4 linked regions of the Drosophila melanogaster genome follow. The protein of the gene in region 1 interacts with the protein of each later gene in a pairwise test. Each region holds a gene or a part of one and is shown on either strand. Other genes may lie near its edges. The genes, in order: Plp, Cep97, ana1 and tacc.

Region 1 (7,173 bases):
TTCGACAGCTCTGATACAATAAGAATTTATACAGTATATTTGAAAATAATTCAGATAGTTTTCGTAGACTAACTAAGAAAAATCAGCTTCTGAGTTACAGACTCATTCTGTTATATTTTCTTTCTTGTTTCAAAATGTTAAAAAAAAAATGTAGCAAACAAAAATGGAATGGTTAAAGTTTTGTATCAGAGTGGGGTGAATACCCCAAAATAAACCCATAAATTACATAAAAACAAAGGAGGCGACTGATCGAAGACTGCTTGTCTTTTCTAGGATCCCCTGAAATACCAAAACCCGCACCAACAACCCACCAACGAAGCCGACGAACCACTGGCGATGCAATTGAAAGCGCCCAAGAGCAGAAATATGGCCAGTCTTAAAGATGAAGATCAGGCGGCAACTACAAGCAACTCTATGCACAATCTCAACAACAACAACAATACGAATAACATAAACAATAACCACAGCAGCAGTAGCAACAACAATAAAATCGAGGATGATCCAAAGGTTAGGAAGGAGAATCTGGAGGCTAGGAAACAGGCCTTGGAGCAGCGTCTTAGCGAAAAAAGCTGGCTGCTGCAGCAAATCCAGAAACAGGAGACCGCCATCATCAATGGCAACTACGAGCACATGACGGTCAATGAGTTTTTTGTCCAATTAGCACAACAGTACAAACATGAACAGCAGCTGCAAGCGTTGGCAAGGGAAAACAGCTCAATTCTGAGGAGAAAACAAAGTACAACGAGTCGGGAAAGTCGCGACAGCCAAATGACCATCAACAATAACAATCGACAGTCGGAAACGCTATCGAATCGCAGTTCAGAATATGACAATTACCAACCCTCCTCATCGGCGGGGGCGGGCGATATGCTGGTAATAGGCGTGGCCCAGCAGCAGGCGCAACAACAACCGCCTCTGGTGAAGAGTGCCCTGAAGAAGCGACCAACACCCACGCCGAGTCAAATGCAATATATGCGCCAGCAGCATCAGCAACAAGCTCATTTAGCAATGAACATGAACTACCAGAGATCACAGCCGGATGTCATATCCATGTACTCGGCGAATTCATCCAATGTAGCAACTTTAAGGCAACCGCCACAAGTGGCGCCCCAGCAGCAACCAATTATAGTGCAGTGCGATAAATATTACCTATCGCCCACGCATCAAAGTTACAATGAGGGCGGCTTTATTAAATCAAGTCAGAACATCAAGAAATATGTGTCCCCAATGGCATCGCCCAGTAATATCAGCTACGAGCAGCAGCAACAGCGTAATCCTTTACATCACCAGCGACAACTAGATGCTATATCCCTTGCGCCCAGCTATGTTTCCGTCGATATGGAAGCTGCCCAGCATCAGCAGCAATATCGATGGCGTTCCCAGTCACACATAGCGCCCTTAACTCCTCCACAATTGGGCATAATAGAGGTGAAATCGCACTCCAGCGATATGCTGGCGGTGCCTATGCCACCCAGCCGCTATCCGCCGCACGATGAGATCTCACTGTCATCCTCGTCCACGACCATTGAGAAGAAGCCCAAGCCCAAGCAGTGGCTGGAATCTTCGCTAGATGGGCCAGCTGTTATCAGGCAGATGGATTCACAGCCCCACAGTCCAGCTGGGAGTAGTAATGGGAGTAGTAATCCCGGCGCAGCTGCCATGGTTTCAAGTAAACCCCGCGCTAAGCTCTCCTCGCAGTCCATGTCGGTAGCGGGTCGTCACTATTCCATGTCCAACCAGCGACCGACTCCGAATTATCCCAGTGCCAGCTATGCGGTGAATACCAGTTCGAAAGCCCTGCTAAGTCAATCGACTTCGTATCTCAATGCAATGGAGCAAACTTTGGGGATATCGGTATCGTATCCGCTGGAACCTCTGGACATACCAGCACTGCGAAACTTACCACCCAAGCCAAGTCAAATGCAGCAGCCAACGCCGCCGCCCAGACCGCCACCCGCAAATCAGGCTCATACTCAGAACCAGAACCTAAGTCACAGTGGTAATGGCAGTTCAAGCGGACTTGCTCATGGGAATGCTGTCCAAACAGCGCTTGTGTCACCGCCAGTAACAGTGGCCACAGCCAGTTTATCGCCGGAAATTCGCATCGAGTCGCCCAAAAACATGACCGTAGTTCAGCAGGCCACTTTCCAGCCGTACAAGGAAGTGACGAAACCCTTCGAGATGTCCGATTTCTACAAATACTCCACCAAGTTTAAGCAAAAGGAGGGCGGAAATCCTAATTGACCTATAAGGTTGTACGGAATTCTCATGCACTTTCACCTTTTAATGTGATTAACTAAACTAATTTTGTAGCACTGAGAAACTACAAAGCAAAAGCAGCTCAAACTATTGGACTCCTTTCGAATTTTAAGTTCGTTAGCCAAATTATTTAGGATCAAGAAAATAACAATGCTCAAAAGATCTGCCAAATTGAAAACTGACGTATTGAAAGCAATTTATCGAACGACATTCAAATTTTGTATTGAATTTTTAAAGTACAAAAAACACAGGACAATATTATCCCCGAGGGGGACAGAAATCGCCTTACAACAGGATGCCTAGAAAATATGGAAATATTTTATATAGTTAACAGCATTTATAAACAAATAACTGACTAGCTAACTAATAAGTGTATAAAGGATATTTACCCTAATCGAATGATATTTTTATATGAATATACCGATTGGATACTGATATATTCACCGAGTTTTCTTAAGACTAACTACCGACAAGCAATAACAAATAGATAAAAATAAATATTTTATATTAAAATATATGCGAGTGCGTTTTTATTGATATTTAAGCATTCAAATATTTCGTTGAACTTCCAATATTTTTCTCAAAACATTATTAATGCTCTTGTAGCATTTCAGATTTTTTGAATAATTGAAATGAAAAGAAAGCTTTATATTTCCCTAGCCTATAAATAAATGTCTCATTTATACCCATAAATGTGTTCTCACTTCCTTAAATCATTCCTTATCGAATATATCTTGTAGTTCCTTAATCTCTGGTTAAAACTTATTTATAGAACAACCGATAAAACTTAATTACTTTCCTCCCCTTTATCTCTCGGATTTCTCTTTGTTTCTCTCGCGATCTGGTAGTAGTACATTGAATTCTCTCTTTTGGACTCTCCCCAACTCAATGCCACTGCAACAAATTTTGTTTACGATTGATTATTTTTAAACAATCTCTTGTTGTGCTTCACTGAGCATTACAGTATCTGGATGGGGAGAAAAAGAGCGTGGATATCCCCCGATACCCCAAAAATATAAAGACTCTTCGCAATGGATTTGGTTCTCAGTTGCATCGCGCTCGCTATTACGTGCAACTGTTTCAGATCGGTTGCACTATTGGTTTTTTTTTGTTTTTAAGTTTCAAATTTGTCGGTTCTTTCTCCCTCGAGGAGCATTGAAAATCACATAATGATAAATTAAGAGTTCACGCTTTAAGTAGCTAGTTTCCCCCATTGTGTTGTCTTCGTGTTAAACTTTAAATTAAAAAAATATCAAATTTTACGTAAAGTCTCCAACCTAACCTACAAAATTATTCGGTTCGTTGCATTCGTCTGTGTTTGTAAGCAAGTCAACCCGAAAAAATTCTAAAATATAGTGTCATCAAAACCACTACGTAAAAACATCAACAAGAAAATGGATCGCATTTGGGCCACATCTAGAATGCCTATAGATATAGCCAACTGACAGGCGCAAGTGTCAACAAAGGCGGCCAAAAAACAGGGAATAGGCCATAAATTATTTGGTTCAAGTGCAGTCACCATGAATCTGTACACTATATACGATTGGGTAAGCCAAACAATCAGGGGTATCCATTAAAGTATTAACCCATTTGGGAGCCGAACATCCATCATCTGTGCTCTCGGATTGTGCATAAAATCCACAAAATGTGGGTTGAATGCGCCTTGATATGTGTGTTTTCAATTCATTACGATCCACAAACAGAACATGTTGTTTTTCAAGTGTGTTTACAAATGAAATCGAAATTGAATGCGCCTTTGAACTTTCGATTAGAAGACCACAAGGCCCTTCCGAAATCTGTAAACAATCTACAGTGAAAAATACCCAACGGATTAGGAATTTTAAATAATATTTTATTTTTTAAATAAGTATTATATTTTATATCATTGAATAGCATACTTTTTATTATTATAGAGCAACTTTTTAAGTGAAAATTATAATTGAATTGTCCACATTATGCGGTTTTAATTGCTTTGTTAAATAACTAATACATTTATTAGTGAATCTTGGCTACTGTTTCCCTGTTTATTATAAACATCAATATTCATATTTTTGAAAAAATGTCTCGCTACAATAACCGATTCGCTTATCGATTTTGTTGAGGAAAGAATGTTTCTGCAACTTGTTGCTGAATAAATCTAATACATGTACCGCAATACGATGAAAATTTTTGGATAATGTATACGAAAATGATCAAAAATTTTTAATATTCATCGAAATGATTAATGGCTCGAATTTCTTATATTAAATTGTTATTGTATACAAATTTTAAAATAAAATTTGAACTTCAAGTTTTTAAACTTAACTTAAAATGTTTTATGATGATTATAGAATAATTATAAATTACTAACTATAAAAAATGAAATATAACAGTTTTTGAGGGACATTAATTCTGATTATAATACTAATTCTAAGTACTTATATATATAGCTACTTCAGTATCAATCGCAATCGCGAATCGTAAAACAATAGTTCTAAATGCTTTTAAAACTACTCTTTTGCATTTATCACCATCTTCCAAACAAATTTATGTTCCACACACACATTTTGTTTATAAATAAAAAATGGGAGCGAACATTCGGTGCACGGAACCGCTTGGAACCGCGTTGCAAATTTCCGCGGCACTCGCTCTCAATCGCTCGGCCTCTCCCGTGGCTGCTCTTTTCCAACGCTTTTCTTTTGATTTTCCTCGGATTGAGTGACTGATTTCAATTGAATGTCTCTTCGGGCGTTTTATTTATAAAAGAACCTGCACTGCAGGCGGTCGCGTCGTCGTTTTTCGGTTTTCCGCACATTTATAGCTCTATAAAGATAAGAGTGCAGTGTCAGTGCCTGTGATCCCATAAAATTGTTTAAAAAAATCTACGAAACATTTGCATATACGTAGAAGTTTGCACAATGTAACCCTCAATAGCCATTGTCGATATATGGACTTTTTAAGTGATTGTAAATTGCATTTAATTGAGATAACTTCTTCATCGCTGAATTGAATCGAATGAGTGGCGGGCAGCGAAATGGGGAAATTGCATGTGAGTTCAGTTATTGTCCGCAATGTGATCTTTAGCATCGCCCAGTGACATTTGCATCACTCGCCAGCCAAAGTGTGTTAATATCATTCGAAACCGCATGATAATGAACCAAATTAGTGGATTTTTTTTGCATTGCAGTGTACTTAGAGAAAATTATACAGTATTTACCATATTTTCTATAAATTTAGTTACGATACGATCTCATTCTTAATTGTTCTTGAATATTATTTATTAGAATTACTATTTGAAAGAATAATGCTGTAAAAGATTTGGTTTGTAAATCAAATAAAATGCGGGTATAGGATATAAAGCAATTCATCATCTACTTCACAATCATATAAATTGTGTGTTCATATGTAAATTTTTATATAAAATATGAAAATGTTAAATGCAAGCGTTTAAGAATTTATATTAAACTAAACCCTTTAAATGAAATAACCTTTCTTCATAGCAACGCAAAAGAAAATCCTTTCTCCAATCCGAATTTATTTTTGTCCAACATATTTCACTGTCAATTCTGCGCCAGGCAAAGCTATTAATTTAATCATTTTCGCCAATATGCGTGCCATTATTGAGGGTTTATCGACAATATCTTGTGGAAAATCAAAGGAAAGGCGTCAGCGCCATTAACAGAGACGTTGGGCTAGGTCCTTCGCCCCTTTTCCCGTTCCAAAGGGGAGTGGCATTGTTGTTATTAGTCGCCGAAGTGCAAAAACCTCAGACGATCCAACTGAAATGTGTGTCACACCCAAACAACGGCCCACAAAAGAGGTCCAAACTATAGCAACAAATTGAAATGTTTGCAAGGAATGTAAAAGACTTTCGTTTTCGTTTTTCACGCACACTCAAAGAAAATCCGTTGTCATGGTTATAGGTGCAAACTTGTTATCCCGATATCCTTATCGCTGTGCTGGTACTTCCTGAATGTGTTGTTGTTGTCTTTGTCCTGACAAGTTCAAGGACGTTCAAACCACCATGTGGCCGGGAATTGGATAACTTTTTCACAAGCATTTTCCGCTAATATTGTGAAAACTTTGTCAAGCGTTACGGCCTGACCCACATGGCGTATGTGTAATATGGAAAATATATTTTTCAGTCGTTCAAAATACAGTACGGACTTGAATTGTATGTAAATTACAATTTAAACTTAATATAAATGGGAAATAACTCTTTTTTTTTTAAAGCAAATATTGCAATAAATATATTTTAAATAAAATTTAAAAAGTTTGCATATATGTAAGCCGACATTTACTGTATGATCTACGATATAAGTTGGAAAAGGCTTATTATTCAAACGTTGAATGCATCGCCTTGGCACATCGCTATATATGCATGCGATCTAATTAGATTTCCATCTGTGAAAAATGTAATTGGAAAATGCTTAAATATTTCCTCACTCGATTGGGGAACGGATGCATGTGTGGCACACGTTTCAAACACCTTCAGACATATAGATCACTCGAGTGGACAGAGACGTCTTTCTTAATTAATGTGGGCAAGTCCAAAAATAAATAATCCAAACATATGCAACTCCTCCGCGAAGGGAACTTTATTACCAAACATAAAGATGCCTCGAATGCTTCTAATTATAATTTAAATGGGAAACCGACAACCGACACAGCTGCAATCCATCAAGGAATGGATGTGGGCAGCAGTAGCGTCTTGCTTGCCCTCTCCAAAAGATAGCCACCAATCCACAGAACCACACTTGAGATGCAGGTCAATTTGAAATTGGATGTGCTGGCCTATCATTGCCCACATTTCCAATCGCATTTGTTTACGCAATAAAATCGCTTTTTAATACCTTTCGACCAAGTTTAGTGGGCCGCCACGATTGCGAACCTCGAAAAGAATCCTCACAATGCGTTTCAGACGTTGACAACTGG
Region 2 (8,015 bases), on another chromosome or scaffold:
CTCAGCCCCGTGATGCCGAAGATTGTCAAGCGAGTGGTGCTCAATTCGGGCTTCCGCATCATCAAGAGTGGGTCGTCGTATGATTACTGTGGTTTAAACCCCATCTAATTGTTTCAAAAAACTTTGTTGCAGACACCACCGACTGGATGGCCGTGTGGGAGAAGCACATGAAGAGCCCCGGGTTTAGGACCATTCGATCGCACCAGAAGTACAACCATATACCCGGATCGTTCCGCATCGGTAGAAAAGACACCATGTGGCGCAGCATCTACAACAATATGAAGAAGTTCGGCAAGAAGGAGTTTGGCTTTATGCAAAAGTGAGCACTGCGAAAATATAACTTTGAATTTCTATTATTTTACTCGATATCTTCTTTAACAGATCCTACATTATGCCAGACGATCTGGAGAGCCTGCGTCAGGTGTGGCCCAAAAATGCCTCGAAGCTGACCAAGTGGATTGTTAAGCCGCCGGCGAGTGCCCGAGGCACGGGCATACGCATTGTGAACAAGTGGAGCCAATTTCCCAAAGATCGTCCTCTGGTGGTTCAGAAGTGGGTGCCCATAACTTCGTCTTCTTTAAAAATCTTCCCTAACCCTAAACCCCACTTCAGATACATTGAACGTCCGCTGTTGATCAACGACAATAAGTTCGATATGCGTCTGTATGTGGTACTGACCTCGATCAACCCACTCCGCATCTATATGTACAAGGATGGACTGGCGCGTTTCGCGTCCGTTAAGTACAGCTCGGAGCTGAGCAATCTGGACGAGCGCTGCATGCACCTGACCAACTACAGCATCAACAAGTTCTCGCAGAACTATGCGAAGAACGAGGATTTCAATGCCTGCCAGGGCCACAAGTGGACGCTTCAATCGCTGTGGTCCTGCCTGGAGAATCGTGGCGTGAACACTAAGCGCCTGTGGGCCACGCTACGGAATCTGGTCATCAAGGGCATCGTGAGCGGGGAATCGGGATTGAATCGCATGTACCGCCAGAATGTGAACTTTCGCTACAATTGCTTCGAGTTGTTTGGCTTCGATGTGCTCCTGGATGAGAATCTAGTGCCCTGGCTGTTGGAGATAAATATATCGCCGTCGTTGCATTCGGAATTGCCACTGGATCTGCACGTGAAGGGTCCGCTCATTCAGGCCGTGCTGAATACGGCTCTATATCAGGTGCCGCCTAAGCTGAACGAACGTCAGCAGGCGGACATCCTGGAGGAGCTTAATCTGACCGGTCCGTTGTGCCATGACAAACGCATCTTCACCACCTGCCTGACTGCAGAGGAGGTCCGCAAACATAACCAGTACACCAATCGGAGCATCGAATTCCGGGAGGAGTACGTTGATACCATACTGGACAATCTACTGCCGGACGATGTCCGTTGCCTGATCGTTGCCGAGGACGAGCTGGCCAGGTGTCAGCCGCTGGAACGGATCTTCCCCACCGCCGGCACACATGTATATCTGCGCTATGTCGAGAATGCCCGGTACTATAATCGCCTGCTGGACGCCTGGGAGACGAAGTACGCCAAGAATAGGGAAATGGGCATTGCCTTGCTGTCGCGCTATTGCCGGGACAAATACCATTTACAGGTGTCGGACGCCGCCATGGAAAAGGTGAACGATCAATTCAATTCAATTGAATTTCCCCTTCCGTACCGCTTCTGTAGTCCATTTTCAAGTCATATTTCTTATCTAGGAACCAAATGTTGCACTTACCGAGATCGATATGCTGCACGTGCGAAAGGATGAGGTCTTGGACGGTGCCACCACGCTGGCCATACTTAAGCCCGTTGTCCAGGAGGGCTGCGAGGTGGCGCCGATTCCGGATGCCTGCATCGAGATCAAGTCCTGAAATTGAACCGAACTATCAGCACTATCACCATTGCTTCTTCCATTGCCATTGCCATTTCCATTCCCGTTTCCGTTACCAGCTCACAGCTGTGCCAGCATCCCGTGCAGATGTGCTCCGGAATTGTATCCGCTCAGTAAATTCACTTAACTTCGATCGTCTTTGGTGGCAATAGCCTGTTTTGGCATCCAGCTAGAAATTGGATCACACGTCATTTCAGTAAATATAAAACACTACGGGGTGTTTAAAAAAATTATGAAAATAAATATTTTATTTAAATTTAGTTCTTATTATTTATTCTTTATGCGAACACTGTAAACTGTAAAGAGTATCGGTTTTCTTATTGGGTAATTGCTCAGCACAGTACTAAGCTTTTTGAACTACGCGGGCTTTGGCAGTTGCGATAAGTCTAAGGAAGTGCAATCGATAACTAGCGGCGCAGTCTTGAGTTTTCAAGCTGCCGATAACGACATCACGCCTCCAATTATCGATAGACGTAGTATAATAACAATAAACAAAAATTCACTGTATTGCACGGCGCTAAAATAAAAATTAAGTTTGCAAATCATGGCGTGGACTGAATTATAAACCCGGCTTGAAACCAAAGGACTGCAAGTGGAACAGCTGAGCTGCACACTTGGGAAATTGCCAATCTGAAACTGCGTGGAAAAAAGAGTGGCCCATTGATTTTTCGCTAAGTATCTGCTGATTAAAAAAAAATTGACCGCAGCGTTGGAATTTCGGCCTGCCAATCAGAAAAATGAGTGGTAAGAAGCCAGTTCTATGCAAGAATGGGCACTATATATTAGTAACTAATAATATGATTTGCGGGGATTGGGATTTGCGTGCTGACTGTATGGGAATTTGCAGTCTGCTTTTGGGGAGTTGGGGTTAATGTTCAGCGGGCCGGGGGCTTCGAGGTCCTGGCTAAAAAGGACGCACCTGCGCCCTGACCTCCTCTCCAACTTCTTGAAAAGTGCGGACCCCTCGATGAAGTCATCAATTTTGTAACATGCACACGTATACAGTGAAGCTTGCATTATGTATTTCCTTTTTGGGCTTTTTGTTTTACATAATTCTGATATTGTGTTTAATGCATAATAAGTATGAAGTGGTAAACCTTAGTTTCTACCCACTGTGCTTTGTTAACCCAAACAGGCGACGAAAGTGGCGAGGAGAAGCACGTCCTGAACTTGTCCAAGCAAAAGCTGAAGAAGGTGCCCAAGCAGGACGATGCGCACAGCATACGGCAGCTCATCCTGGACGAGAACGAGCTGCAGAAGATCGACAACATAGACTCGTATCTCAAAATTGAAACGGTGACTTGCAACGTTCTGCGAAAAGAAACAAGTTCCTAATTAACAGAAATTCAAATATTTCAGCTCTCCTTGGCCAGAAATCAATTGCTGCGCATGTATGGCGTCTGCCGGCTGCATTGCCTGCGTGAACTGAATCTGTCCTTCAATGGCATACTCTCTATCGAGGGCCTGAAGGAATGCATCCATCTGCGCGTTCTGAATCTGGAGGGGAATAACATCAAGACCATCGAGCATCTGAACACGAATGTCAATCTGGAGTGCCTGAATCTGGCGGATAATAGCATTGGCAGCATTTCGGATATGTCCTATTTGCGCAATCTCAAGGAGCTATATTTGCACGGAAATCGCTTGACGCATCTGAGGCAGTGCGACAAGTGTTTGCCCACCTCACTGGAAACCCTAACGTTGGCCAAGAATAGCATCAACGATCTCAACGAGATCTGTACGCTGTCGCATCTGAGCAACTTGCTGAGCATTTCCATTGCGGATAATCCCTGTGTGACCATGATCAACAGTTTGGAGTGAGTTAGCTTAATGGATCATATGGATTGCGCTTAAAATGTAACATCTCTTGCAGTGGCTTTGATTACCGACCTTTTGTTTTAAACTGGTGCATGAGCCTCAAGTACATCGATGGCTTTGTGGTCGATCCTATTGAGAGTCTTAAGGCCGAATGGCTGTATAGCCAGGGACGTGGTCGCCAGTTCCGTGTGGGCGAGCAGCAGGGCTTGGCAAAATACCTAAGTTCTGTGTGCCCGCTGGTGGGCAAGGCGCTGGAAAATGAAAACGATAGGAAACTCCGGCTGATCCTCAGCAAGGCGCAACACCATCAGCGGCAGCTGCAGGAAGAGATCATGGATAACGCAAATAGTTCTGCCAGCACTTCGCCCTCATCCCATCGCAAGAAGCCCACGAGTCGCATTCAGTCGCCCAGATGTAAGTTATTAACTCCCTATCTATGCTTTTTCATATAACTTATATTTTTCTGTCTTCGATTTAAAGTCTCCCGCTTGAGTGGCCGCCAGGGATCACCGGAGTCCATGGTGAATAGCTATCACGGGAACAGCAGCAACAATAGCATTGTTAGCGACAATGGATCTACGAATCATTCGCTGCAAATGAGCATTTCGCTCATTGAGAACATTAAAAACGATGGCGAAGGCTTTAGTTTGGCCGGCAGCGGAATGTCCAGCAGCGTGACCACCAAGACATACAATTCCACGGAGTCCACGCCACGGAATATAACACCCAATCCCTACAATGGTATGACAATTAAAATATATTCAATGCAAGAGTGGAAAATGATGTTAATAGTAAACAACAATTCCACAGATCAAACGTTCATCAGTCAAACCCCATCTGGTGGTCCATTGGCGGCTGCCTCGAAAATGGTCCCAGTTCCGGAGACTCTGATGAGCCCGGATGTCTGTCCCGCCGCTGTGGCCCAAAGAGTTACGGTTACGGCACTGAACCCTCAGCTGCACAAGACCAAGATCAACAAAAATAAAGGTAGCCAGTAGTTGTTACTCTAGACTTTTAAAACGACACAGATTTCTAAAACATACATACACATTTACACTACAGACAACAAACTGAACTTGCCAAGAGTGCGAAGTCCACAACTGAAGAGGAACCAAAGCCCTACGAGCAGTCCACGGAGGATGGCCAATAAGTGCAGCGCGGACAACATGCAGGCACCGGAGAAACTCCAGCAATCGGCTGTTTTGGCCGATAGCGGTGGCTTCAGCACCGACGACGACGGCGAGCAAATCAACATAGAGAAACTGAGAGCAATCCGGAAGATGGCCGCTCAGAAGCAACAGCAGATGCATCAGGAGCAGCTGAAGCAGCAGGTGGACAACAACCTGAACTGCCAGGATCGGCTGATCGAGCACGTGACAGAGTCCTCGGCCGTTACCATCCAAAAGATGTGGCGAGGCTATCACACACGCAAGAAGACCAACAAGGACATAGCCGAGCGATTGCAGCGACGACGCACACAGGAGTATATCGAGTAGGTGGTCTCGTTTTAGGCAACATATATCGCAACTTTCTAATGCTCTATCTGTCGCATTCCTCAGACAACTCGGCAAGGATATGCTACTTACGAAGGCCCAGCTCGAGAACGAGCGAAAGATTCAGCAGCTGCAGATGCAGGCCATCAATGCGCTGTGGAAAAAGGTGTCCACCATGGAGGTGGATCCCAAGGGAATACCTGCTGCTGCGGAACAGGGCGAGGACTCCAATGGCGGAGGGTCTGGCCACCTGAGTCTCGATCAAAATTCAGCCGCCGTGGTAAATGATTTGGCGAAAAGATGCACCATGCTCACCGATCAGGTTCAAATGCTGCAAAGCTCGATTGGAACCATCGTCAACTGCCTCACAATGGTGTGCAATCTGCCGCAGGACGCTATTAAGAAGCAGGCCGAGATCATTGATTGCAGCTCCACTCAGACGGACCTCATTGCCGTACACACGCCGCAAATAGAGGACCTCACCAATTTTCCATTCACCAAAACAAGGCCCTCAACCTTGGCCCTAGAATCCAAGCACGAAGCTGCTCTGGCTTGTCCCAAAATCGATGAATTGAATGATGTCGACCTGAAGGAGACCCAAGAAGACTCGGAAAATCTTGATAAAGATCCATGAACAAATCCCAGTTAATAAATGAGGAGTATAAACGCTTTAAGGGTCGATCTCAGCGCTTATTAATTCCTTTCTTAGGCTTTTGTGTAGCTTTTGCAACAATATTAGATCGGTTACGAGAACTTAGAAGTAGCACCAGCATTCACAAACACATTACTTTGTTACATTCCTGAGATGCAGCGATGGTGGAAGACTTAACAATAGTATGAACAAATCGTAAATACAAATTTTTGTAAAGCACAAAAGGTGTTCTTGATTGCGGGCAGATTTTGTTCAAAAACAACACCAGCATTAACCAACAGTTTTTTTTTAATTAAGTTTGACAAATTTGTAAATAACCTAACTATGTGTGTGTTTGTACATCGTTCAGTCCTCTTCGCTGGATGTTTCCTCATCTTCCTCTTCGTCGGAGGAATCGCGATTTACAGGCCGATTTGTATTGGGCAGGAGATCATCCTCGAAATCGGAGTCGTCTTTGTTTTGGCTGGTGGCTTCCTCCTGTACAGGTTTCTTTGTGAATTTATCCGGCCAAATTGCAGCTTTTGTGTATTCCTTTATATGTTCGGGTGTGAGTATTTTGCAAATCTCGGCTTTGACTTTATCGCCCTCCTCAATCGGTTCGACCAGCAGAAAGTCGCCACGTTTCACCCACATGCTCTTGCGGAATTTGTTGGGCATCGAAACTAAAAGGGTCAGAAGGATACAAATTCATTATTAAGTATCAACATGAAATGAGTTGGGATGGGCTATCTCAACATGTCTTTATCGAGACGTTCAGACGGACGGACGAAGATATACGGACGAACGGAAGGACATGGCCAGATCGATTGGGATATTGATCCTGTTCAAGAATATATATGCTTGGTATGGTTCCATCGCTTCCTTCTGCCTGTGACATACTTTTCAAAAAATCTAGTATACCCGGCAATAGCTAGTTCAAAATTAACTAACCATGGAGTTTTCCTCGACTTTATTCATCCACTCACCAAGGAACGTTTCGTCCACGGTCTCCACCTCGTGGAGATTGTTGCCCCGACTGCTGATGACCCGCGCAATCTGCTGAGTTTCTGTGGGCAGCGCGTAGTCGTCCTCCATCATCTCCTTCATGAGATGCTTGCGACGACTGATACTCGGGTGTGATCGGTGCATTGTGCAGCTTTCAATATGATTTCTGTGCAAATTGCCAATTAAATTAAAATTGCTCAACTTTTGACTTGTTTTGTGTACAAACAGCTGTTGGGCTAGTGATGTGAGGCAGCACAAGTCGTGTCACTATCGATAGCACTCTATAAAAATGCTTAGCGATAGGTCTCAAGCCATGCCACACACAGCACTAGCAAGCAGTGTTGTACAATCCCTAGGCAAAGTGATAAATTCTATTTTTGAATAAAGTGCCAAAAGTTTGTGAATTATAACCGTCGCGAAACGATTCGAACACTAAAAGAACACTCGTCCGAGTAAACGCGCAATGTTAATAGCAAGAGCACATTTTATTTGTAGAGCCACAGCGCCTGCATTTAAGGAGTTTATACAAATTGGTGACTTAACAATTAGTGGAGACTACATCCATGTAACGAGAAGTTTGCTGAGCAATGGTGTAATAAAAAGCAACTATAAATACAAAATATATTCAATTGAGGCAACTAGTTCTTGCTACGCCTCATCAGCATGCGCTCCTTCAGCGAAATCCGTCCGGACTTCTCCACCTTGGTGGATACGTTGCGACGCGATTCGATTTGGGCCTGCTTCGATTTCTTCATTCTGAAAATGTGTAAAAAAAAACTGGGTAATCCCGCTGGGTAAGTGGTAAGTTGACTGCTGCTATTGCTTACAATTCATTCAGGAGACTGGTGATCTCCTTCTTCCAAATGTCCTTGAAATCATTGGTGAAATTCGTCCAGTACTCGAAGAACTGGTCGGGCGTGCACTGGGCCAACGTTAGGGTGCAGGCTTTGGGTGAGAAGTGGTAGAAGCGCATGGTCTCCAAAAAGAGATCGCGACACTCGTCAAGGGATTGATGCAGCTTGGCCATCGATTTGTCCGCCCCCTCCACAAACTCCTCCATTTTGGACTTGAAGGGCTCCATGATCTCGGGACGCGAGGCGGCCAAAACTTTGGCCGTCGTTCTCTTGCAACCTGAAGAGCAATATCATGGATTAGCTAAGTGATGGCAATGGAAATGATCGCTCTAAAC
Region 3 (10,120 bases), on another chromosome or scaffold:
ATTGGTAAGGCCAGGGGGGATGAAACTTAAAATTGGGTATGAGTTATGGCTCGAATGACTATGCACAGATTGACGACAAGCAAAGGGATCTGCTGCTGCACACGGAGCGCATAGCATCGTTGGAACAGAAGCTGGAGAAACGCATCGGCGATCAGAACGAACTGGAGAAGCGACTCAGGAAGGAGGTGGAAACGCTGCAGCACAGGAACAGCGAGCTGGAAACAAAGCTGGTTGATGCGGCCAGCATGGTAATATTGAGATCTCTCTTTAAATATTTACCCAAAGATTCGCGTGCTTTCAGCTTGGCAGCGAGGACGCACTGAGCGCCACCGGCAGCGATACTACTCCTCTACACAATCTCCAGCAGCAGTCGAATAGCAACCAACTCACCTCCGAGGATCGCATTGCGCTGCTCGAGAAGGAGGCGGCGCATTGGAGGGCTCAATTCGAAGTGGCCAAGCTGCATCAAGCATTTGTCTCGAACCCCAGCAAGGATCTCAGCACGTGCAGCTGCAGCACGGCGGCGGCGGGCGTCACCGTTCGACCGGCAGAGTCGGAGGCGAAAGGCAGCCAGCGGGCGCGGGATTCGCTGCAGGATCCCCCCGAACCGCCCACCAAGGAGCAGCTCATCTACAGTGTGTTCAGCAAGAAGTTCGAGGATCTGATGCGACTGAAAGTGCAAGCGGAATCCAAGTTGCGATCCTACGAGCTGGAGGTTCAGCACCTGCAAAACTGCCTGGAGAACGCAACGCACGAACTTAAGGCCAAGGACGATCAGTTGGCCAGTTTGGGTGGAGCCCTGCAAATGCTCGAAGAGGAGTTGGTGAGTTGTGCCTGCAGTTTTGTGCTCTTAGAACCAAGTGACATCTCGGATTTCCTTAGACTACGACGCGTATTAACTACGAGGAGCAAATCAGCGTGCTGACGGAGCAGGTCATCAGCTTGAGTGACCAGCTGGCCGCCTGCAAATGAGCATGGACAGCGGCGCGCATCCCGCCCAGCTGCTTTACTGTATATTGTTGTAAAATAACTAACTGGGAACGCCCGCTCCCCCTCTACCCTGTTTTGTTATTGTCCACCCTCGACGTGTATATAACTGAACATTCTATGTGTATTAAATAATTCTCTAAAGTTTAAAGTTTACAATTTGATTGAGAAGGAGGAGCCGCAGGAGCAGCCCTGTTCCGCCAGCGGATTGGCCACCATCCGGAAACCGGCGCGTATTAGTTCGCTATGGTAGTCCACGGTGGCGCCGCTGCAGTACTCCAGCGAGACTGTATCGATCACCACCTTGGCCTCAGCCTCGCCAAACTGTCGGTCATCCTCGTTCAGCTGCTTATCCAAATCGAATTTGTACTGAAAGCCGGAGCATCCGCCTCCTTCGACGGTCACACGCAGGAAAGATCCATCCACGCAGATCTCACGGAGCCGTTTCAAGCAGCTCTCGCTCACCTGGACACTAAGTTCGGGATTCGCGGATGTGGAAGCGGTTGCATGCCGCATTAGGATTAGATTTCTATGGAAGATCAAGCATTTATTGTGGGATTTGTCACGCAATTTTTCCTAGCTTATTTCACCTTTGCAATCCGCTCCTGGCCACTTGTCGCAGTAGGAACGCCATAATTTTACGATTTCACAGCCAAAAAATGTAATTTCAATATTTCTATTTACTATCTCGTAATCCAAACAATTTCAGCTGATTTCGCACGATAACGATAGGTGTCGATAGTTCGATACATCCCAACTGGGCCATCTAGGCTTGTGTACATGCTGTTGTGATGTTTTCGTTTTCAAACTGAGTTTATTGTCATGTAGCTTTCAAATTGCATTCATTAAATTTTATAATTTAAAAAAAAACACGTAGTTTTTCGATCATTTAATTTCCGAATTTGTATTGTGCCTTGAGTGCGTGCTACTTACCAGCTGGTATATTTTAGACGCATGTAAATTCTAGTACATTCAATTATTCATCTACGGTCACACTGCCGCTTGGGAGGAATTTTTAAAGACGTTGGGTTGTTTGATTTTACGCTCAAACTTGTTTCGATTTCTACTGCGTAAATGCTGCCCCACATACGAATTTATTACATATATCGATAGAGCAGATGGCTCTGCAGCTAACAGTAAATGGAAAGTTCGGGGCCAACCTGAGGAGGACCATAGGACCACTGGACGATCCAGAGCAAGTACGCAAAGATCTCGAAAGTGAGCGTCGCATAACCCGTTTGAAGCAGGTAACTTGTCCCTTGGGTTCCGAGCCCATTGCGCAGTAATTGTAACACAAAGCGTGACCACTTAATTTTATAACCAGGTGCGGGAGAAGTCAAACCACCTGGCACGCCAGATACGCGAGGATGTGGCTGCCGAAAAGAGGCGTCAAATCCACAAATTAGAGCAGGTCAAGCAAAGGGAGCTAAATGCGTGGCGTGAGCATGTTTTGGTCAAAAAGCACCAGGACTACCGTTCGGCCATTTTCCAGGTGGGCGCCGCCCATCGCGCCGCAAAGGAGGAGAACGAACGCATCGAGCAGCAGAGGCAAGAGAGAATCGACAAAATCCGAAGGTGTCGCAAGCAGGCCTTGAAAAGATCGGCTAAAGCCAGCGTTGAGTTGCGGACCACAAACACAATGAATTTAAATGCGGAGGGACGTGCCTCGGCGGGAACACAAACGCCCATAGTGGAGGACAAAGAAAACCGAATGGAGAGCGGGTGTAACAAACCCTGTTGCAAGGGCAAGCGCAAAAGGAAAACCAGCTGTGGATGTGCCAGCACCGATGCAGAGGATGAGAAGGAGGATGACGCATCGTCCGATGACGACTCATCCATCCTGATCATCGAGAGTCCGAGCAGCAACCGGCGTCTCCAAAAAACTACCCCCGTAATCCTAGACGTAGAAATCGAGGAAACCATTTCTGAAACCGACAAGAATCCCGAGGGTATGGATATAAATGATAGGTTCATGCAAACCAACCGGAAATTCAGCCATGTCGTGCGACCCAGTGATGATGAACCCCAACGCCGGCCGAGATTCACTCAGATCAGCGATTTGGTAAGAAAAACCGAGACCACCGTACGAGCTGGGCCAAGTCAACGAAGGGAAGCAGATCCTACTCCACCAGTATCTGCCCCGCCTAGTCCCACCAAATCCCCGCCAAGATCGCCCAGAAAATGTGTAGAGCGTGAGGAGCCCGTTCCTGCTCCAGCACCCAGAAAATCACCCACTAAAACAGCTAAAGGATCGCCGAAGAAAACTGTGACGGCACCACGTAACCAGCCATCAGTCAAAAGAACGGGTTTAAAATTAAATCCAGCTCCTGCCAAGGTGATAGATGCGGGAATACACAGAGGTCAGAAGGCCAAAGCTCCAGCTACGCTGCCCAAAGTAACAGCTATACAGAAACCAGCAGTGGAACCTCCTCGAAACCTTCCACCGATTCCAGAACAGGCTATGCCAGCTGTGCCAAATCCGTCGATGACCCATTGTTATCCCATGCCGCAGAATCAACCATACATGCATCCGTATGCTCAACTTCCGATGCAACCATATGCGATGCCATATTCAATGCCATTTCCCGTGCAAGCCCAGTTTCCACAACCTCATCCGATGTATGCACCGCAGCAAATGATGCCGAATCAGCCAGCTGTACTCGGTCCCGCTATTACTGCTCCACCGAGCACTGCTACGCAATCCACTGTGTCCACCACCACAATTACCATGTCCTCGCGACAGGACCCAAGGACGACTCAATGTGGGCGTGTTCAGTTCTATGATCATAGCAATAAGTACCATAGAACGTACGAAGCACCAACACAGTCGGTGCAGTGCAATGAGAAGGATGCCACCCAATTGACCGCTATGGATCATGCTCGCATCGAGAACCAGCTGAGGGATCTGCGGGAACAGGAACTGGACAAACTGAGGTAGTAGCCAGTAAAAGAAACAGAACACAGAACTTATCTTAATGAATCAAATTGAAATCAATAACGTATTTCAATAGGAAAATTAGTGACGATCGTGGTCAAAAGGCTCTTGAACGCGAGCAAGTGCGTCGGGATTGTGCTGAATTAACGGAAAAGCTAGATGCTCTAACGCAACAGCAACCGCAGCTCTTGCCAACCGATGTAAGGAAATCAAATATTTTTCCTCTTTAAATAATACAAACTCATTTTCCCACCAGGCTAACATTATACCTAGCCATCGGTACGCGGATGCAGCTGCCAGGCGAGAGCAAAAGATGAACGATGCAATGGAAGAAATGCTGCTTCGACCAGCCATTATCACCTGCCCGGAAGTGCGCACCAAACCTACTCCTCCAAACTTATCGCGCAGCAAATCCAAAGCTTCTGTGGCAGTTAATTTGGGCGAACCTCCTGTTCAAATCGGCCGGGATAATCTTGGCAGCTCGGAGAGCTGCAGCTCCATTCTTCTCGACTACGTTAATGATCAAAGCAAGCAACTCAAGTCGGACCTGCAGGCCGAGCAGTCAAACTCACTGAAATCGATGAGGCTAAAGAGTTTGCTTGAGCGCATTGAGAAAATTCGAGTCCAGCTGTTGGAGGAACTGAAGGCGGGTGAGTCAGGTGCATCAAAGGGTGACAATGCACAGGAATTGAATAATATACGTCAGGAGCGAGCTGATATTCTATCCGAGCGAACGAGAACTTTAAACGAACGAGAATCTGATTTGCAACAGAAGGAGGCTATTCTCGAGCAGCGTCTAAGAAAGTTCTACAAGGAGACAAAAAACGCAAAATCCAGTGAGAGTGATAAGCCAAAATCAAACGCAAAAGAAGATGGGCCAGTTGAGATCATTATTAAGGTGAGGAGTGACGGTACTGTTAAGCAATATGTACCGAGAACAAAATCGAAAGCCAAAACCAAGCCGTCGGCTATCGACAATGAAAAGGATGTGCCCCTGGGCTCAACTGACAGCACACCAAGAGACGATGAGCCAAAGCCGACGGAACAGGATCACGGAAAGCGACCATTCTTACAGGATCAGCGTCAGATATCCATTGATTCCAACTCCACTGCCTATCGCAGTCTGCCGCCAGTGAGCTATAAAAATATGACCACGGCCGCTCCCCCTTCTGCTCCATTACATCCCATGGTGGTTCAATATATAAATCGTCTGCTAGGAATGACACGCCAAAATATCGATGAGATGGGTGTGAGTTCCTCGTGTGTGACCACACCATCAACGTCGGTGATCAACTCATTGAGAAACGTAACCCCTTGTCCCGAGCCTGAAGCGGGAAGAGCTGAAAGGGATCAGGATGAAAATACGGAGATGAACGAGCATCGCATGGAGCGGGTGCAAACCTTTATTGCCGACAATCGCAGCTTAATCAATGACTTGGAAGAATCAATACGTTGCCAGCAGCAGCTGCAAAGGGAGCAACAATCGCTGGATGCAGAGAAAAGTATGCGCGCATTCGATCAAATATGGAACAAGCGTTTGGCCAAGAATCCTGAAGATTGTCAGCAAACCAACAAAGAGAAAGAGCAAACAAGAGAAAAGATGCCAAGGGAAAGGCCGACTCCACAAGGAGATAGGAAAAATGCAGCACCTCCACAGGAAAGCGGCAAAATTCGTAGAACTCAAGAAGGGGACCGGCAGCAGCAAACAAACGGTGCAGTGCAACAAAAAAGGGAGCAAAAGACTGTAAAACAAGGTTCAGGCGCCGATAAAAGCACAAACCGCTTTGCCCCCGAAAAATCGAAAGCACTATCCACCAGTGAGGAGTCATCTGCCCGAAACATGGAACGCTATGCACAGCTCACGGAGAACTGCACCCAGCGGATCGCCGAACTTACAGAGCTGATCACGAAAGTGCGCGAGGAGAAGCAGCGACTGGTGGAGGTCACCCTCACATCGAACAGCGATGGCGAGCGGCAGTCCACTGAATATCTTGAGCTTCCAACAGGACAACAGCAAACCAGATGCCGGACAATTTCCGATCGCAGCGATTCTCAAACACCTTCGACCTCGGAAGCCTTGCCGTTGCAGAAGCACAAGCCGACAGCGGCCAGCAGGGATAGTGGCATTGCGGACTCACGTCCAATTACGGCACAGGGTCAGGTTTGTATCGATGTGGAACCCATCTCGCTTGGGTCATCAACGCAGAATAATACAGCACGCGGACGAGTAAGGGCACCTCCGGCCACGATTCGTCGGTATAGTCCTCAACTAAACGCCGAGGATCTGGCGCACGAGCTGTCGACCATTACAGAAGTGGAAACGCCAGGACAATCACATATTGTGGCCGCCACACCGGTGCCCAAGCCATTCCCTAGTTTCGATCAGTATGCCAAGGAACTGCACTTAGATCTGTCGCGGTTGGATGCTGATCAGAGCCAACGGCTGCAGGGCGAATTTAATGACTTAATACTCGCGATCAGGCAACGCAATCAAGGAACTGACTACCGTGAGTTTCCTAGCATTAATGCCTATCTTCATAACATGACTAGCACCCGAATCCATGTGGAGATAGGTCAGGATGCAGATCAGGCCACTCTGTCACCGGGTGAACTGATGCGACAGCTGCGCGTGATCACTCATAGTATCCAAGACTTTCCCAAGCGCAGGGAATACTTTGAAAAACTTATGGCCAAGCAACCACCCGATCAGAGGGATCTAATAGACAGTGCTAGCTTAGAGAATGATTCCACGGATTCATTTAACGTAGAGGAAGAACTCCGCCAGCGGAAAATTCTAAAGAACTCATTTCGTCGAGGAAACGCAACTGAGACCACATTGACGGCTCAGGAGGTGGCTAGCAGTACGCGGCGGGAAAGCGTCGCCCCAGTGACCAACGATCAACCCAACGAGAGTGGCATAGATCCCCTCTCCGGCAGCAACTTTTCCAGCGACGCGGATCAGAGAAGTCCGTGCTGGCATGCCACAATGCATGAGAGGCAACAGCAGGTGGATGAGTTGTGCAGCAGTACCACAGCCTCGTCGCCAGAACGGCGGCCACGAAAGTCTCGGCTTCGTGGAGGCCACGAGCACAACAATAGGTCTAAGGACGATTCCACTGTGCAGGATGCAAGCCAGATAGGAAGATCCCTTAATCTGAGGGAATTCCTTACGAGAGAGCTCCTCAAACATCGAGTGCACGACGACGTTGCCAGTGAGAGTTCAGATGAGTCCTTAAGGGGGCACTTTCTGAAGTCGGTCCTACATTCGCTCTCGCCCAGCAACAACACGCAAACGCCAGGAGTGGGTGTAAGCCATGCCACCGGAGCAACAAACGACAGACAAAAGACATCCACACCAGTGGGATCGTTCCTCTCCATTCCAGAGAAGGCCGGGTCCATGAGTAACACCGGCTCTCAACTGTTCTCCGGGGAGAGTCGCATCTCCCTGGTTAACTATCCAGATGGAACTCCACCCATTCCTTTTGAACAACAAAGCAAACTTAGTACAAATCAAACTCGCCAATCCTCAGGTCAAATAGGATCAGGTGTCAGGACAACGCATCGAAAGTCGCCCCGAAAATGATCGCCGAACTTTTAATTCGTTTGTTTAGGTTTTAGATTATATTATCCATTTTATGACAATTATTTATATTTTACTTACTTTGCAATTTTGTGTCAAAAAATGACTATCGAAAAAGATTGTATAAAATTTACTCAATAAGTTAAATGTACAATTTTATTACCAATTTGTGTGAAACTTATTTATATTTTAATAAACCCGACGATTATTTATTAAATTTCTATCTAGAGTTTCAAGTACAATATTTCGGTTGTATGAATATAGACTTGCAGTAATGTACACAATTTATAAACAATATATATATTTGATGGTCTAACTAGTGAGTAGATTAACCCACTGATCCTTTGAGGACCTCGGTGTTTCAGTTCTGGTCCGGTACCAGAATGTAAGTAGCTTTTGTCATGTTGTAAGTAAACATCCGATTCACTGGCGGTCTACAATAGGTTGGTGGACAAATATTACAACGTAGTCCCTGGTGGAGATTACATCTAAGTACAATACGTATAAGGCAGTACACATTCTAGACTTTTCGTTAACAAACTTAACTAAACTAAGGAAATGAAACATTGATAACATAATATGTGTATGTGCACAAGAAAATCATTTTGGTACGGTTTTTGTTTTGGACAAGATTCCTCTTCCATTGGGAGCCCAAGAGTTGTAACCTTGAGCCATTATAAGCACCAGATTTGGTTAAATGCGATTTCCGATGGATATTTTTTTGGGCCACCGTTTCTCACTCCTGGCTCTCATCCTGATCGCGATCTCGCTCGTCCCGTTCTCTTTGCATTCTTTTGTGGCTGTCACTGGCCGTCTTCTTCAGTGCTTCCGATTCCCCGCCTGTGGCCTCTACCATTTGCCGGAGATGTCCCTGTGACTTCTTCAACAGCAAGTACGGCACATCGAATTCCACGGCGACACCAGCATCCATTACTATAATCCGATCCGAATCCATGACTGTGTGCAATCGATGGGCAACGGTGAGCACTGTGCACTGCTTGAACTTGATGCGTATGGTGCGCTGGATCAGGGCATCGGTTCTGCGAGAATAGATGGGTTAGAAGTTAGTTCTGGAGATATAGTAACTTTCGTTCTAGGACTCACTGTGGATCCACATTGGCCGTGGCCTCATCCAGTACCAGCACCTTGTTGTTTCGCAGAATCGCCCTGGCCAGGCAGAGCAATTGACGTTGGCCCACGCTGAAATTGCCGCCCCTCTCCGTTACCATGTAGTCCAGACCGGGAATGGCTTTACGCAGCTCCACATCTTCCAAAGCGCTCCACAGCTCAGCGTCGGTATACCGCTCGAAGGGGTCCAGATTGTAGCGGATGGTAGCGGAAAACAGTACCGGATCCTGGGGTATAATCGAGATGCGGGTGCGCAGAATTTCCAATGAAATCGTTCCCGTCTCTATGCCATCGATAAAAATCTCTCCCTCGATGTGAGCCAATCGGAAGAGAGCTCCAATTAGCGACGATTTCCCAGCTCCTGTACGTCCCACAATGCCAACCTTCCAGCCCGCCTCGATGGTGAGATTCAGGTTCCTAAGCACCGGCGATCCATTTGGATCATAACGACAGCTCATATTGCGGAACTCCACCTGACCGCGTGTGGGCCACTGCTGCGGTGGCGTTTTTTCGCCCAGCGCCGGCTCCTGCTCCAGTTCGGTGTATTGCAGGACGCGCTCCACGCTGGTCATTTGCTGCAAGGACTCGGCCACTTGTCGCACTCCATATTGCACCATTCCGGTTAGGATCATGGCCTGGGCAATGGCCAAGCCTACGTTGCCGCTATAAGTGGCTAAAATTAGAAAATATACCTATTAGTTTTGTTCTTTTTAATAACTTATTTCTAATAGAACTCACTTTCACTGGAGATAATGAAGCTGAAGGTGACAGAGGTAAGGAAGATGCAACTGACACAGTCCAGCCACAAGCCTAAAGTCGTATTCACTGCCATGGTCAGCTGCCACACGCTACTGTGCACATCCTGCAGCAAATCAAACTCCTTGGCCACCACATCCTGCAACTGGCGGGATCGAATGATGGCCAGACCCGTAAGGGAAGCACTGAGATGGGAAAACACCGGACTGCGGCATATGCCCTCCAATCGCTTGAGATCCTGCGAAGGTCTCAGGTACAACTTCAGGATGAGCACATCCACAACGGCTACCACCAACATGGCGGCCACCAAAACCGGATTCAGTATACCAATAACAATCAGAATTCCAAACATCACCAGAGCGATCTGTATAAAATCCATCATGGCCCGCGGCAGCAACTCATCAATGGCGCCCATATCCTTGGAGAAGCGATTCAGAATCCTTCCAGACGGAGTGGTGTCAAAGAATCTCATGGTGGCGTGCAGGATGCAGGCAAACATGCGATCGTGCAGCACCTTGGAGGCATGCATGCAAATCTTAAAGAACAGGAAGCCACGGAATGTGGTCATGATCACCACGGCGATGATCAGAGCACCGTATATGTACATGCACTCGAAGGTTGAGAAAGTGGCCTCTCCCTGCGACCTCTGATGCTCCTGCTGTGTCCAGATGTTCGCAAAGAAATCGGAACTACTGCACACCACCTGGGACATCACCATAACAAAGACCATGAAG
Region 4 (6,793 bases), on another chromosome or scaffold:
TCGGTTGTGTTAACTCAAAGACTATTGGTGATTTCGCTATGACTCCGAAATCGCTTTGCTTGCGATGTGATGAACGTTCTACCACAGCCTCTTCCAAATAGGGCATGTCCTTTTGCTCGAGCTGAGCACGCGGTGAGCGTGGAAAGTGGGACTGTTTTTCAGCAGGTTCTTTGATGGGGAAACTGGGCGAAGTCGGTTCTGGAAGGCTTGCAGTGGTTGTATTCCCTTTCAGATCCAAGTAAAGTGGCGTTGGTAAGACTGCCACAATGGGTACCAGGCCGTGTGATAGCTGCTTACATTCCACCTTCCCCGCCGTCGAGACACCATCAGGCAAAGGCAGCTCCCTCAAAGCCAGGAACTCTAGTTCCTCCGCTGTTTTTGGGCGATGTGTAGGTATGGGCGGGGAAAGGGAAAGTTCGATAATTTTTGCTTGAAGTGCGGGTGTCGGCGGTGAGAGCGAAGCTGATGGGACAGATTCTACAGGCAGCTCTATTTCAGTCATCTTTAATGCACTTTCTTTTCCTGCAGTTTTTTGATCCATTTTATTATCTTGACAATCCGTATCATTTTGAACGCAGAGTTTTAAGAAAAATTTGCTTGAAACGGGAGAATGAGCATTAATTTGCTCCTGCCGACATGAGTTAAGCACTGTGGCATCATCCACTTTCATGGATTCATCCACATCCATTTGATCAAGCTCCTCCACAGTCCTGTCTTCAGTTGCCTCCATAGCTGGGGATGCATTTTGCTCAAGGCTGATGGCAGTGCATGGTCTCTCCATTGATTCTACTGCCACCGAAAATTGCTTCTCTTGATTAGGGTATTCTAGAGATTTTGCTGATTTTGTGGACAGTTCTGAAGAAGCCTCTTTGAGATTTAAGGCCTTTTCAGGCTCCTTAGGATTTTGTGCGTCCTTCACCTGAGCACTACTGACCGGGTGGTGCTTCTCTTTCTGAAATATATCTTTTGTATTTGTTTGCATTTCCTCTTGATGCTTAGCTAAGTCTTTCGTAGAGTCCAAGGCAGATAAGGTGAGCTTCGGCTCAAAGGATTGTGTACCAGACTCCTCAGACAGTACTGATTCTACCAATGATTCTGATTCCTTTGCATCACTATTGGGTTTAGAGTGTTTGGCTAACTGGTCTAGTTCAACCCTATTTTGCTCCTGATTTGGATGATAGTGCACAAAATTATTCTCTGGTTTTGACTGGGTTACGCTGAGAATATGCGTTTGCATAAGATGACGGTCTTCCGCATTCAAGACGTCCTTTAACATTTCCATGGTTTCGTTTAGGTCATCCACATCCATGGCTTCATAGCTGACGTTGTTGTGCTGGCTAACTGCCAAAGGATCGTTGAATTCAGCTCCCAGTGTAGAAACTGAGGTCATGGACAGCTGCTGCTCCAAAACATCATTAAGGGCACTTGAATATGCCTCTAACTCCGATCGATCTCCGGTGTAGCGCTCGCTATGAAGCGATAAACACTCGACAAAAACATCCGAATCCGAATGGTTGGATTTCAGTTGAGCTAAGGGAGGAATGAATGCGATATATTAATCAATTCGTTTTAATAATAATTAAATACATATAAGAAATTTATTTATATAATTAATACAACGAGAAATTTATACATAAACTTGGAAATGATTTATTTTCCCCAGCTGGCCCTTTCCTTTGTATAAATGACGGTATTGAAATAGAAGAAATTACTTCGCTCTTCTGGCGGATTTCGTATGGAATTCTTTTGTACATCAATATAATTTTTCTACCTTAAGAGATTTCTGGGTTACACAAACAAGATTTACTCACTATCCATATCGGTACTTAAAGGAGCTAGTTCCGGTATTTGCGTCTCATCGAACTCGGGAAGACCTCCAAACTTTGGAACGAGGTCGTCTTCTGGCTTAAGTCCACCGGGTACCGCCGTCTGATGCCCCAGAGCTGCCGCCATTGCCTTCTGTTGATCCATGCTCGTTGGCTTGGGACTGGGCTTCACCGCCAACGGACTCAGCTGCCAAACAAGAGATGCAAAATTTAAGAATATAGTTATCAAGATGTACATCGCGGTCATGATCCGAATAGTTTTAAACCGTGAACAACCGATGTTGGGAATGGGGTTTTAAAGATGATCACGAGTAGCAGCTGGTTGGTCATTTAATTAAGAATTTTTGACACACAAAAAGGCAAGAGCCCCACCACAGTTGGCATAAATAAATCGCATTTGGGATGACTTTTCCCGTATTTTCCCATTGCCAAGAAATTATACAAAGGCATAGGACCCCCATTTTTAGTTATTATCATATACAAAAGAATACATTATTATGAAATTATGATCTTCATTTGAAAAACTTCAATCTCATCTAATGTAGCCCATATGATACAGATGCCTTCAATTCACGCTTAAAAAAGACATACATTTCAAATGTTTGTCGCAGTCGGTCAGTCAACAAAAGCAAATGTCATTAATTAAAAAGCCAGCCAAGACGTAAAAATCGGGTATATGGCATATGTTTGGGAGGGTGGCAACGAAACGGATTGAGGAGCAAAAGGTGGGGAGATGGACGTGGAACTGGGTCGACGTCAGCTTTTGTGCAGTGCGAAATAAACATGCCGCGGATTCAATGCGGCCGGCCGCCATGTTTAATGTCTATTTAGGTTTGGGAGCATCGTTCTACACGCGGAATTTAATTAGAGCGCATTGCAGTATAATGGGTGCTGCAAGGTTAAAGTCAGAAGAATAAGGCGAGTGGTGACCGGCTTATGAGCGAGACACTAAAAATTAGGAAAATTCTGGCATTAGACCAATTTCTCCGTTTCGATTTTATTGATAAGTATTTTAATTTTAATTTTTTGACAATGGGCTCAAATTTGAGTGGTAATGGGAAGCAGATTCCTGCGGAATATTAGCCCAAGCTAATGGCTAGATACAACCCTATTTAAAATAATATTTTCTGCAACGCAATAAGGTGACAAAACCAAGTGGAACCGCATAAATACTATATATGCAATCGGCAAAACACATTGGGACATTACAAAAAAATTCCAATGTGTAGATTTATGCAGTTTGCCTAATACTAGAACACCCCCCCCCCCCCCCCCAGGGATGCACATAAAAAGATAGTCCTAATTCTTTCAGACATACCTCGCCACTCATGGCTTGCAAGTGCTCCATTTCGTTAGCACTCACTTGGTTCAGATTGAAGTTTATTTCGCTTAGAAATTTCTGTATTTCTTCTCTACTATCAGTGCTGTCCTCGGGGGCTGGGAGTGGGTTCGAGATGGATTCCATAAATAGTTCACAGTGCTTTCCCTCCAGTCGTTGCAGCTCCTCAGAGGCGGACTCTAGTAACGAGTCCAGGTGCGCGGATACAAGTGTAACTCCTCCCTTATCCCTTGGTGTAGAACATTCATCAGCGGGACTAGCAGCTTCTAGGGCTTCCATTGTCGTTGGCTGATTGGTGCTGATGCCAGTGGTGGCGATGCTTTTGGGTCTTTTGATGATATTCGCGAGGAAATCCATGCCGCTCTACGCACGATTAACTCCTGAGACGCGATACGGTTCACTTGGCTCCAAAAAATAATGGATCTATAGAGTTCCTTAGTTTGGTCTTTAGTGTTTTTTTTTTTTTTTTTTTTTTGTGGTTTTTGTTGTGACACAGATTTGGGCTCGCCTACTCGGTAAAATCTTTACTGTGATTTTCCGCTTCCATTATATTGGGTAATACCTCCGGGTTTCTCACGGCCCGTTGTCGCGTGCGGTTCTCACTGCCTCCCGATCATGTCTGCCTTTAAAATCAATTTAAAAATATTTTCGTTTTCAATTTGCTTTGCTCTGCTCAGCGTCACACATGCACAAATACTTAGAGCACGGCGAGAGTGCGGGGGATCGACAGACCGAGTGAGAGAACGAATAGTTTGAATGGCATCCACATAACGATCCGGATGTTTTCGTATGTCTTCATGTTTGGATCGTTTTAGCCCACATGGCGTTCTCCCCTTATCAGCACGGTCCTCTCTTCCATTTATAATACTGCCATATGTTTTCACATGTGAGACGGCGGCTAGAGACACCTTTGTATATTACACATTATGGATTTCATACCAACTTAAAACATTTATTTAGCACATCCTTAGTCTTGAAATAGTTCCGATAAGTTATACTCTGAACTTTTAAGCACAAATATTCCTAATGAAAATTAAATCAAAACAACAGAGAACTCAGTCGTTTTTCTCGACTACCCATTACTCAGCTTTTGGAGCTACGAGAAATATACCCTTCAAAGATTTTATTAGCATATAAATAATATAAGTCTTAGTGGCCAGATAGACTTGGCTGGTGATTCTGAAGATGAAATCTTATCCTTTCTATGGTTGGAATAGTTACCCTTTTCTATTTCGAGAAAATATATTGGGTTTTATGAAGCTAGAGGGCAACACACACTTGATCCATTTAAACACACTTCTCTTAGATATATGAAATACATTTTGGAAACGGTCGAGGTCGTGGGCAACATTTATAAAATAATAATGTCAAAAGAGCGGGCTCAAGTTGACAACCTTTTTGACTGAACTGCAGTGAAAAACTGAAAAACTATACAGGCCTCAGACGAAATTCAGACTGAAAGGCAGCAGTGAAAGTGCAAGACACCGCAAATAAGTCGAAACACTTAAAGAAGGGGATAAATAAATGGGATACGAGAATACGGCGACCGCCGACTGCTTATATTGTCTTCGCAAATCAACTGGAGGAACTTGGTGCAAATTCAACGCTTTGATGACAGAATTATTTTGCACATTTTCCATAGGATTTTTGGAGAACAGTCTTATTTGCAAAATGCTTTCTCTTAAAGATATACCAGTAGAGGCAAGTAGAGTGCTCTAAAATAATAAATATGTTGATTTGGCTCATCACATTGTTTCAAGTGTAGAGGCCTGGTGGGTCCCAGATGACATGCAATCCCACAGCCATTGTTGCGCATCATGGCGCACTATCTGCAAGCTCCACATTGCCCAACGGCTGACTTTGCATGTTTGGCGAGAAAATGTAAGCAATGAAACGGAATCCCACACGATGGGCCTTGACGAGGGGGGAATAGTTAGATGTTGGCTCTAGCGTTATCCAAGCAGCGCGCGACAGGTGACAAGATATCACACGGTTCCCGGCTCAGGGTGAATTTAAAACCAATGTAGTTTGTTGAAGCATATAAGCCTTGAGTGGAATCCAAATAGTGGCCACAAATGAGTATACTGATTTCAGAAAACACAATAAATACAATAGAATAGAATACAAGTGGAATTTGAACCTTAAGCTGCAATTCGAATATCCAATAGAACTCAGGAAAATAAAAGAAAACAAATATTGAGGAAGAGCCAACTATAAACTGATCTAAAAATAGGCAAATGTGGAAAGGGGTGGAAACCATCTGTAGATCCTTTATAATGAGCATTTTTGTTGGCAAAAGGGAAGATGGAGTTAAATGACATTTAGTCAAACTTAAATCCTCAGATGGGCGTTTTTTGGACTGTAAACCGCATTAGGCACTGACATTTTGCAGCCGTTAGCCGCCAACTGATTTATTGGCATAATAGCGATACACACTAGCATTTTTAAATGGAAAGTGCACCATCTGGAGAGTGGAAATTTCAAGAGACAAATATATAGAAGGAAGAATAAGTAACTTTTGATTTTCCCTTGGCATACCCGATTCCCTCGTCCGTCGTCCGCCTTTATGGTAATTTTCCCGGACAAGGCCCTCGGTTTCCGTGTCTTGCCCGGCTTATTGCCCATTCTCCTATGGCTATGGCAGATCGGGGAAACTGGTCACCTGGGATGGACAATGTCCGGCGGACACCGATCAACTAGAGAACTCTCGTTCGCGACAGCTGCCTCAGAGCTAATAGGAACAGCGAATAATGGAAATTTATATGTACATATGTATTTACGATGAACAATTGCGAATAAAGAAAATAGCAGAACAGCCTGCGACGCAGCATACCCACACATATGTACAAAGTACATAACCGAACACACACATATGTACCTGTAGACGTGTGAGTTGAATTATGCCTCTGCCGAAAGTGGCTGCATTGGTACATCGCGGACGGAGCACGCCTCCAAGTCCAGCTATTAACTTACCTTAATGCCGCCATCGTTTTTGTTGATCTCCCGCAGAACGCCGCGACCACCAAATCCCATTCCTAGGCCATTTTCTGCGTCGTCGAATTCCATGGCATATGTGTATCCCGGCAGGCAGCGCTCTTCTACAGGCCGATGACACAGTTAAGCTATACGTTTTCGGATAAAACTCTTATTTATCGCAATATGAAATTGGTGACGCGAATTTCCAACGTTGCTTTGGCGAAAATGCCGCTACAATTTGAAGAAGCATAAGTGACAGTGTGGCCAAATTGCCAGCAGGGAAAAAATACCAGAGGGCAAATGTTACCTAGCATGTTATTAATAACATTATTTAATTGCACTTACACAATATTTCGATCTATGAATGGTTAAATAAAATCCAAGTTTTTCTTTATTTTTTTTTTCAACGAATTTTCAAGTAAATGAAAGTCGGTCAAAATAAAGAATTGGAATTAAAAAGGGAACAGTAGCTTTGGTATTATTACCATAATCACTTTTGTCACCGAGAATATAATGTTTGCTACCTACTTATGTAGATATACACAGTATTATAATACTGCATTTTATATTTCTAGCACACGATACTTGAAGAGTACAAGTCAAAAGTTTAAAGTATAACACAGGTAGATCGCATATAAAAGTTTTCAAGTAC

The links.
Region 2: the proteins of Plp (region 1) and Cep97 interact in a two-hybrid assay, tested with the Drosophila melanogaster proteins (one study listed by BioGRID).
Region 3: the proteins of Plp (region 1) and ana1 interact in a two-hybrid assay, tested with the Drosophila melanogaster proteins (one study listed by BioGRID).
Region 4: the proteins of Plp (region 1) and tacc interact in a two-hybrid assay, tested with the Drosophila melanogaster proteins (one study listed by BioGRID).

The regions. Positions count from the first base shown.
Region 1 is NT_037436.4:15,086,425-15,093,597, reverse strand, and holds the start of Plp (Pericentrin-like protein), read left to right. Parts: upstream 1-3,404; 5' UTR 3,405-3,779; coding exon 3,780-3,806; intron 3,807-5,044; exon of another isoform or gene 5,045-5,272; coding exon of another isoform or gene 5,273-5,287; intron 5,288-7,173. Other genes in the region: sstn (stepping stone), read left to right, coding at 337-2,244.
Region 2 is NT_033779.5:3,865,366-3,873,380, forward strand, and holds Cep97 (centrosomal protein 97kDa), read left to right. Parts: upstream 1-2,331; 5' UTR 2,332-2,616; coding exon 2,617-2,623; intron 2,624-3,014; coding exon 3,015-3,175; intron 3,176-3,238; coding exon 3,239-3,696; intron 3,697-3,752; coding exon 3,753-4,111; intron 4,112-4,177; coding exon 4,178-4,438; intron 4,439-4,507; coding exon 4,508-4,684; intron 4,685-4,724; exon of another isoform or gene 4,725-4,759; coding exon 4,760-5,189; intron 5,190-5,256; coding exon 5,257-5,824; 3' UTR 5,825-6,060; downstream 6,061-8,015. Other genes in the region: TTLL4B (tubulin tyrosine ligase-like 4B), read left to right, coding at 1-67, 133-319, 382-552, 613-1,621, 1,704-1,859; CG31957 (uncharacterized protein), read right to left, coding at 6,188-6,504, 6,808-6,970; capu (cappuccino), read right to left, coding at 7,465-7,582, 7,654-7,957.
Region 3 is NT_033777.3:24,528,681-24,538,800, forward strand, and holds ana1 (anastral spindle 1), read left to right. Parts: upstream 1-1,895; 5' UTR 1,896-2,105; coding exon 2,106-2,234; intron 2,235-2,311; coding exon 2,312-3,921; intron 3,922-3,998; coding exon 3,999-4,122; intron 4,123-4,178; coding exon 4,179-7,505; 3' UTR 7,506-7,715; downstream 7,716-10,120. Other genes in the region: CG6607 (uncharacterized protein), read left to right, coding at 1-4, 69-248, 302-823, 883-972; CG13623 (uncharacterized protein), read right to left, coding at 1,141-1,516, 1,578-1,621; Cftr (CF transmembrane conductance regulator), read right to left, coding at 8,239-8,542, 8,607-9,303, 9,369-10,120.
Region 4 is NT_033777.3:4,742,653-4,749,445, forward strand, and holds the start of tacc (transforming acidic coiled-coil protein), read right to left. Parts: upstream 3,763-6,793; 5' UTR 3,523-3,762; coding exon 3,145-3,522; intron 2,014-3,144; coding exon 1,812-2,013; intron 1,531-1,811; coding exon 1-1,530.